Linked DNA regions of Drosophila melanogaster. The protein of the gene in region 1 interacts with the protein of each later gene in a pairwise test. Each region holds a gene or a part of one and is shown on either strand. Other genes may lie near its edges.

Region 1 (3,754 bases):
AACTCGGCGATTTGCAGGAAATTGCAGAATATGATATCCTTGTTGTCCCGCACGGAGCGCGGCACCACCGGCTTGTCGATGCCCTTGATGTACTTCTCCACCACGTGGAGCAGATCCCTGGAGAACTCCTCCTCAGTTTCCACCAGCTCCCTGAGAATGGTTCTACAACGGCCATTACAACTAGTATCTATCTGTCCAACTGGATGGAGTGAGTTGAAGTCCTTACAGTTTCCTAAACTCCGCATCGCCGCTCTCCTTGCCATTCGAACTGCTCATGGTGGGATTGAACTCTAGTATATCGATGGGCACCCAGCCTTCCTTGGGGGAGTCCCCGCTATCGAACATTCGCACAAAGCATCTGGAAAACTCACTGCACTAGAGTACCATACCACTTCTCGATGAACTCAATCGCTCACCTTGACTTTTCGGATGCCTTCGAACTTATCAGTTCGACCAGATCCCCGCGAGAAACGCTGATCTCGTCCGTGGCCAGCGACTGAGCCTGGTAGTCCCGACTCACAAACACGATATCCGCCACCTGCTGGGTAGAACCGATATCTTAAGTACGAACTTTCTTTTCTATAGCTACTCTCTTGGTTCACACACACATTTCTATCACCCATTTCGATACTTCAACACAAAAATATATGTACATATATCCCAAATAGATCGTTATAGATCTGTGAGTTTTTTTAGGGTTTATGCAATTGGTGCGATATCGATTTGATCTTTTGACGCGTTCGACTTCGCTATTTCACAAACAAAAGTGGCTGAGCAATATTTAGCCCGCTAGCTGAAAGTCTATTTTGCGTTGACATAGACACGCGGGCTCGGCTATTTATTCCGATGTCCAATTTTACTGAGTGCAAAGCTTGTGCAGCCGAATCAGCTGATCCCCCGATTTGTTCCCTCGAACAGGGCTCTTCACTTCGGGCCAATGATCCGAGACCACAGTGGAACCACAGTGGAACCACAAGATGGATCCTAACCCACTTCGCGTCAGAGGTGGCTTTCACTTTCGAGAGGAAAATATCTGTGCACCGAGTATAAGATACTATTAGGGTCCTTCGGTTTTAAGGTCACTAGTATCATCATCTTGAAGCACTCAAACTAAACTAAATAAAATTGCACTTTTATTCGTCACTAGCTGGTTAACCAGTTTACATTCACATTTTGCAGTTGGAAAAAACCATTGACTAAGTGCTATTTCCTAGCAAGGACGTCCACTGTAGCTTTTGCTCACACAATGTATGTACATATGTACATCTGGTTTGCCCAGAAGTATTAATAAGTAAATTTGGCACATGTTCATAGAGACCGATCTATAGTGTATTTTCCGGACACGCATAACTTACGGCATCCATTCCGGCTGATTTGAATATTAAGACTTTGTATCACTCGATTAACTCGACTTCACACACTTGATTAACTCACGCACATTGGCACGAATTCGAAAATGTATTGCATAACTTATTACTGGGGCGATTTCGTTTCGAATTTTCAATGCACTGGATTTGCACTGGATTTAAGGCATTATCGGCATTAGCCCAGTATCGAAAACTACGAAGACTAGTCTACGGGGCACTCTCGAGTTCGCTTGTCATAACTGAAAAAGTCGAGGAATTTTCCGCCTTTCCGCGGGCCAGGCCGATTCAAAAGTGGAATAGATTTAAATTTAAACTGCGGTCGCGTGAGAAATATTGGCTACTGCGTGCGGATACCAATGATTCTAACTGCATCCCGACAACTGTACGACTGATCGATATTCGCCGATCACAACAAAAGCTCCCCTCGAACATCGTTTCACAATTTAAAAATAATGCCCATGCCCATGCACCTCGCACTCGCCATCCGCATCCCCATCAGTATCTGCAAATGCATTTGCATTTGCATCTGCATTTGCATCTGCATCTGCATCTGCATGTGCATAGCCATGTGCTTAGATGCCGAACAGAGCGGACGGTCTGAAAGTTTATGGCTGTCAGAGGAGTGCATATAGATTTCGGCACCCAGAGTGCGCCAGCATACATATTTAATTAAGTATTATAATATATGCGCGGGCACGAAGTTATTTATACGATCCCATACGTTATTCGCAATGTTTATGGTCAGAAATATTGGCTTGTTTAATTAATTTGCAACTGCACTTCCTCCTGTCACCTGTCAGCAATGTAATCATAAATAAGAGGAAATTGGCCTACAAAGTTGAGATTAGTCACCAATTAGACCAACACAAACGGGTAGTTAGTAGTAACACCTCCTTCAACTGAGTATTTATGCCAATGCTAGACTAGAGCTTTCCCTTTAGGAGCTTTGTTACTTGTTAGAAGCATCTTAATCTATTCTAGACTTTTTAGATTACTACTAGCCCGCTAAGCCTAAAACTAGGCAATCCGAATGAAACATTCACACAGCTTCTAGGGACTAATGGGTTTAATAGTAGTTATAGATAATAAGTTATGGTAATCAGTGCACTCAGTGGTAGCCAACAGTTTCCCTGGGCAGAAAGACGCAGGCTATGGAGGCCAGCAGGCCCACGATTGCGTACGTGGACATGGCCTGAATTCTGGACGAGTCCATCAGCACCTGCGCCACGAAAGGGGTCAGCATGGCGCCGAGTCTGGCCAGCACGGAACAGCCCGAAACTCCGACGGATCTCAAGGCAGCTGGGTATATTTCCGGAGTGTACACATAAATGGCCTGGAAGATGCCGGATATCGTGCCGCGTGCAATGAAGAGGGTTACGGAAGTGGAGAAGCGACTAGGATTGGAGGAGGATTGGATTGATTATCAGATGATCAATTGAGTGTGCACCACTACTACCTTTCCACCGACATCAGCACCAGAGTGCACAGAACCAGCGCCAGGTACTGCAGAACAATGGTTTTCTTCTTGCCAAACAGCTTGACCACCTTGATGGTCAGCAGTATTCCAGGAAACTCGGACAGGGTGATCCACAGCAGGTCCATAAAGTCGGAGGTCATGAAGGTGACGCACTCATTGGGATGGCTCTCCTTGTTCCTGGCCACCAGCAGCTCGGTCGTGACCAGCACCAGGCCGTAGTAGCAAAAGGCCGAGGCCAGCCAGAGGAACCACAACAGGATGGTGGTCCTGTACAGGCTCGGGCTGAGCAGGGATCTAAAGCTCTCCGCGCAACTGGGCTCGTCGTCGGCCATCAGCCGACCCATCAGCATGTGGCGCTTGTTGTTGTGAGCTATCTACAATCGTAGGTTTTTAGACGTATAATCACTCCATAAAGTTACCACTCACCTGTTCCAGAACCTTGATGGCCTTATCATTGTGACCGTTGTAAGAGTAATAGCGAGCCGATTCACTGAGCCACTGTAGTGATTTAAAGATACATTTGATTAAGGATATTTCTGAAGAGAGCGAGGAATACGAACCGGCGATAGGATGGTAAAAATGAGTAGGGGTGTAGCCGAAAGGGCCAAGAGACCTCGCCATCCGTAATAGGGATACACAACCAGTGCTAGGACCACTTCAAAGCAAGCTCCCAAGGCCCAGAAGCACTGAAACCAGTACAATATATTCAATAAATACGTTTAGCACACGGTGGCACGTACTCACGTCCATCAATACGACGCACTTTCCCTTGTGCTTGGTGGGCAGAAACTCAGCGTACAAGGTAACTCTTTTGGGTTAAAGAAAGTTTTAGGTGGAGAGGTACCTCCTAGTCCATGGAATTACTCACGACTGTGGAACGCAGCCGATGGCGAAGCCTACGAGACCTCTT
Region 2 (3,754 bases), on another chromosome or scaffold:
GTCTTCTTCGAGGACGAGGAGCTGGAGGAGCTACTACTGGGGGCAGGAGCAGTTGCGATTGCTGCTATTGCCGCAGCAGCAGTTGCATTTGCAGGAGCGTTGGTTGCAGGCAGTGCTGGGCTGGGCGCCGAGGCCACGGCGGCACGGAACTTGGCGGCACTTCCAGCTCCGGTGTTGGTTACCGATGCGGGATTGGCAATGACCGTGGTACTCCCACCGCCACCGCCACTGCTGCCACTCCCACCGCCTCCGGTGCTGATGTTCGTTGTTGTTGTGGTGGTTGTGCTGCTGCTGGCCGTGGGCGGTGTGGGCGTGGCCGAGGACTGACTGCTACTAGTTCCAGACATCTTGGCAGTGTTATTGGTGTTGTTGTTGTTGTTAACTTTCAATCGGCTATTGCTGGGTAAAGGTGTGTTGGTTAAAACGCCTGATGACTCCGTCGTCGTCAGTGGCTCATTCTTGGCCGTCAGAATCTTCCGCCCGCTGTTTTTCAATAGAGCGGCGGCTATCGATTGTCTGGCGGCAGCGATTCGGGGTAAATTATGATTCAACTGTCTGTTGGGGTTTTGATTGGTGTTGTTATTGTTATTATTGGATCCAGAGCCAGAGCCTGTGTTATTCTTGCTGGTTGCTGGTGCTTTCGGTTGATTGGTTGTGGTTTGTTGGTTAAAATACGCTGTGGAGCGCACATTCAAGTCATCGCTTTCATGGTTTTTCGCATCATTATTCATTTTACTCTCTCGCTGGAGGTTCTGTGTTGTTGGGGTTATTCTTTTTGATTTACTTTCAATTCGCGCGTCCTTTCGGGTATCAAAAGAAGTAAAGGTATAGAAATTAAAATGTTTAGTTTGGGTAAACAGATGTCACGTCCCAAATAAATTTCACTACAAGTGAATTTAACAACTTTGTTGATGTGTTTTTCAAAGGTGTGTAGGGTCACGGCGGTGACGGCGGCGGCACAGAAACACATCAACAAAAATAGGTTCTTGGGTTATATTGATTTTTGGATATTGTGAAGAATTGGTTTATATATATGCGATGGGCAAAGAAACTAACACACACATTCGCACGCACACACACACACACACACGTAAGCACATGAGCCAGCGAGGTGGCAACTCTGCGCATTCTTTCACTGTGCCTTTGCACACTCGTTCGTACATCGTTCGTTCGCATTTAATTCTCCCATTCCATTCCATTTCCCCTGTCCACTGATTCACATTTTTACACCGAAAATGATTCAGGTGCAAGACGAAACAAAAAAATTGCACTAGATCACTTAATTTCCCCACGTTTCGTATCGCCAATTTCGTTTATTCACGGATACAAGACCAATCGATGCGCAATTAGGACTCGGGGCAACGTGCTTCACTATTTATATAATCGCAGAGGGGAGACGCCGCCGAAACGACCAATCGATTGTTGCACTTCGCAAGTTTACTAACATTCGAGAACTTGGAATTGCAATACTTTATTTATAAAACTTTTCGCAGCAGTTTCGACTTCGCCCGAACGAACGAAGAAAAAATCACTTTTCGACTTTGGCGTATGCGTTTCTCGCTTGGTCGATAGCCTCGTCTCTCTCCCGCACACGCGATGCCCTGACGCGGCCAGTCGGACCGCTGTCACCATCCCGCTCACACGCGCAGACGAAGCCAGAAAATAGCTGAGCGACTGAGGGAAAATTTTTTTGCCACTATTCCGATGTCGATTTTCACCAATTAAGTGACGTTTGCTGGACAAAAAACTAGCACAATTCACGCCCCAACCGATGCCCAACAATTTGGTAATATTTGCGCGTATTACCGTTTAAAATTTTTAGCAAATTAATCAATTTTTCAGCAGTGTTAAATTCTCTGTCTATCGTCAGAGTTTCGGATCGCCATATTATTCCCGGATATTGAAAGAAAAGGTAGGACCATACTGCGGCTCGCGATATAAATTCACATCGATATTTCTCCCTTCACTTTTGTTTCCGGCAGGGTGATATTTTTGAATAGTCTGGCTGTGGTCCCATTAGTTTTGAATTTGTTTACTAACTTCTCTCTTGTTATATATGAGAGAGTTCATAATATGGAGATATTTTTAATCTTCTTTAAGAATCTTGCAAATTAGAAATTGTTTGATTTTGATTTTGCGGTTACATACACGACTTTGCCATGTTTCGGTTTTTAATATAAAACAAATTTTCTCTGCTGCAAGTGTGCCCATGTAGGAAAAATTGTGCAATGCTTAAATTATTAATTATTATTCGAATAGTTTTTGAAATGATGACCTGATATTTACGATTACGACTATAGAAATGATTTAACGCGAAATATTTTGATTTTTAACCATCAAAAGGAAATCGGGTTATTCGCGTTGTTCTTTCGGGCCGAACCGGGAAAGTCATCGATAGTATCGCGTTCATCCGATTATCGTCCCAGCTCTAATTTTTTTCCAAACTAACAACACGACGTGTCATTTGCCGGAATCGCAGGAATAAAACGATATTAAAATGCACACGGTGTTAACCCGAGGAAACGCCACGGTGGCATACACGCTGAGCGTTCTAGCTTGCCTCACCTTCAGCTGCTTCCTGTCCACCGTCTTTCTTGACTACCGTACCGATGCAAACATCAACACGGTCAGAGTGCTGGTGAAGAATGTCCCGGATTACGGAGCGTCCCGGGAGAAGCACGACTTGGGCTTCGTGACCTTCGATCTGCAAACGAATCTCACAGGCATCTTCAACTGGAACGTGAAGCAGCTGTTCCTGTATCTCACCGCCGAGTACCAGACACCGGCCAATCAACTCAACCAGGTGGTACTGTGGGACAAGATTATCCTGCGCGGCGACAATGCCGTATTGGACTTCAAGAACATGAACACCAAGTACTACTTCTGGGACGACGGGAATGGCCTGAAGGACAACCGCAACGTATCGCTATACCTCTCGTGGAACATCATTCCGAACGCGGGACTCCTTCCCTCCGTTCAGGCCACTGGAAAGCACCTGTTCAAGTTCCCGGCCGACTATGCCACCTCGTCCATTTAGAGCTTAGGGCTAATGCTAAATACAGCTGGTTCCGCCCGGGTTCCCTAGCTTGTAGTGTCTATCTAATAAAACCCCAAATAAAATATCTTTGTAAAGATTTCGAACTGTATCCCAAACGAAAGAAACTTAAGAGAAATTCGTTGAAAATAATTTATTTTTGGTCCATTTTTATAATGACAATTTTATCTATAGCTTTCTATAGTAATTAACCAGCGAGTGACTGCAGAGCGCCAGCACTTAGTTTTCGGTCTTTCGTCTCAAATCTGGGTTTGGCAGTCGAACTAGGGTTCAACACTGCAGCTGAGGTGTTAAGGGATAGAGCTACAACCAAAATAGCAATAAAGAACTGTGCGAAAATTTTAAAAAATATTAGATTTTGGAACGCAGATATGATTAGTACCAACACACCAATTTTACTGAGGCCATGTTGATATCCGCTAAAGAAATCGAAAACTATACTAAAAATGTGTAAAAGATCTCCAATATATATATGACTGGTATTCAAGGCCGCATCGAATGGGTTCGTTTCAAAATTTAAAACTGAATCAAATTCGTTAACATTTTTTACAAGGCTTACGCAATGAAAAAGACTAATTGACCTTTGAAAATGTAATCCTTAAGACGAAGATGATGAACCCAACATATGAAAATACTTATTCGATCAATTCACAACTAATACGAAAAGGAAAGGATTTTGCATTCGGAAGATTATTTTTA

The links. Proteins that work in one complex are often made in the same cells at the same time.
Region 2: the proteins of Obsc (region 1) and mask interact in a two-hybrid assay, tested with the Drosophila melanogaster proteins (one study listed by BioGRID).

What each region holds. Positions count from the first base shown.
Region 1 is NT_033778.4:24,012,498-24,016,251, forward strand, and holds the start of Obsc (obscurin), read right to left. Parts: upstream 1,758-3,754; 5' UTR 1,365-1,757; coding exon 1,356-1,364; intron 542-1,355; coding exon of another isoform or gene 539-541; coding exon 417-538; intron 359-416; coding exon 227-358; intron 163-226; coding exon 1-162. Other genes in the region: CG4324 (uncharacterized protein), read right to left, coding at 2,476-2,761, 2,824-3,218, 3,271-3,342, 3,405-3,530, 3,589-3,652, 3,713-3,754. UniProt on the Drosophila melanogaster protein: Structural component of the muscle M line which is involved in assembly and organization of sarcomere.
Region 2 is NT_033777.3:24,228,701-24,232,454, reverse strand, and holds the start of mask (multiple ankyrin repeats single KH domain), read right to left. Parts: upstream 1,894-3,754; 5' UTR 1,807-1,893; intron 1,787-1,806; exon of another isoform or gene 1,497-1,786; intron 1,432-1,496; exon of another isoform or gene 801-1,431; 5' UTR 732-800; coding exon 1-731. Other genes in the region: Spase22-23 (spase 22/23-subunit), read left to right, coding at 2,498-3,037; Acp95EF (accessory gland protein 95EF), read right to left, coding at 3,243-3,383, 3,446-3,463. UniProt on the Drosophila melanogaster protein: Mediator of receptor tyrosine kinase (RTK) signaling, and may act either downstream of MAPK or transduce signaling through a parallel branch of the RTK pathway.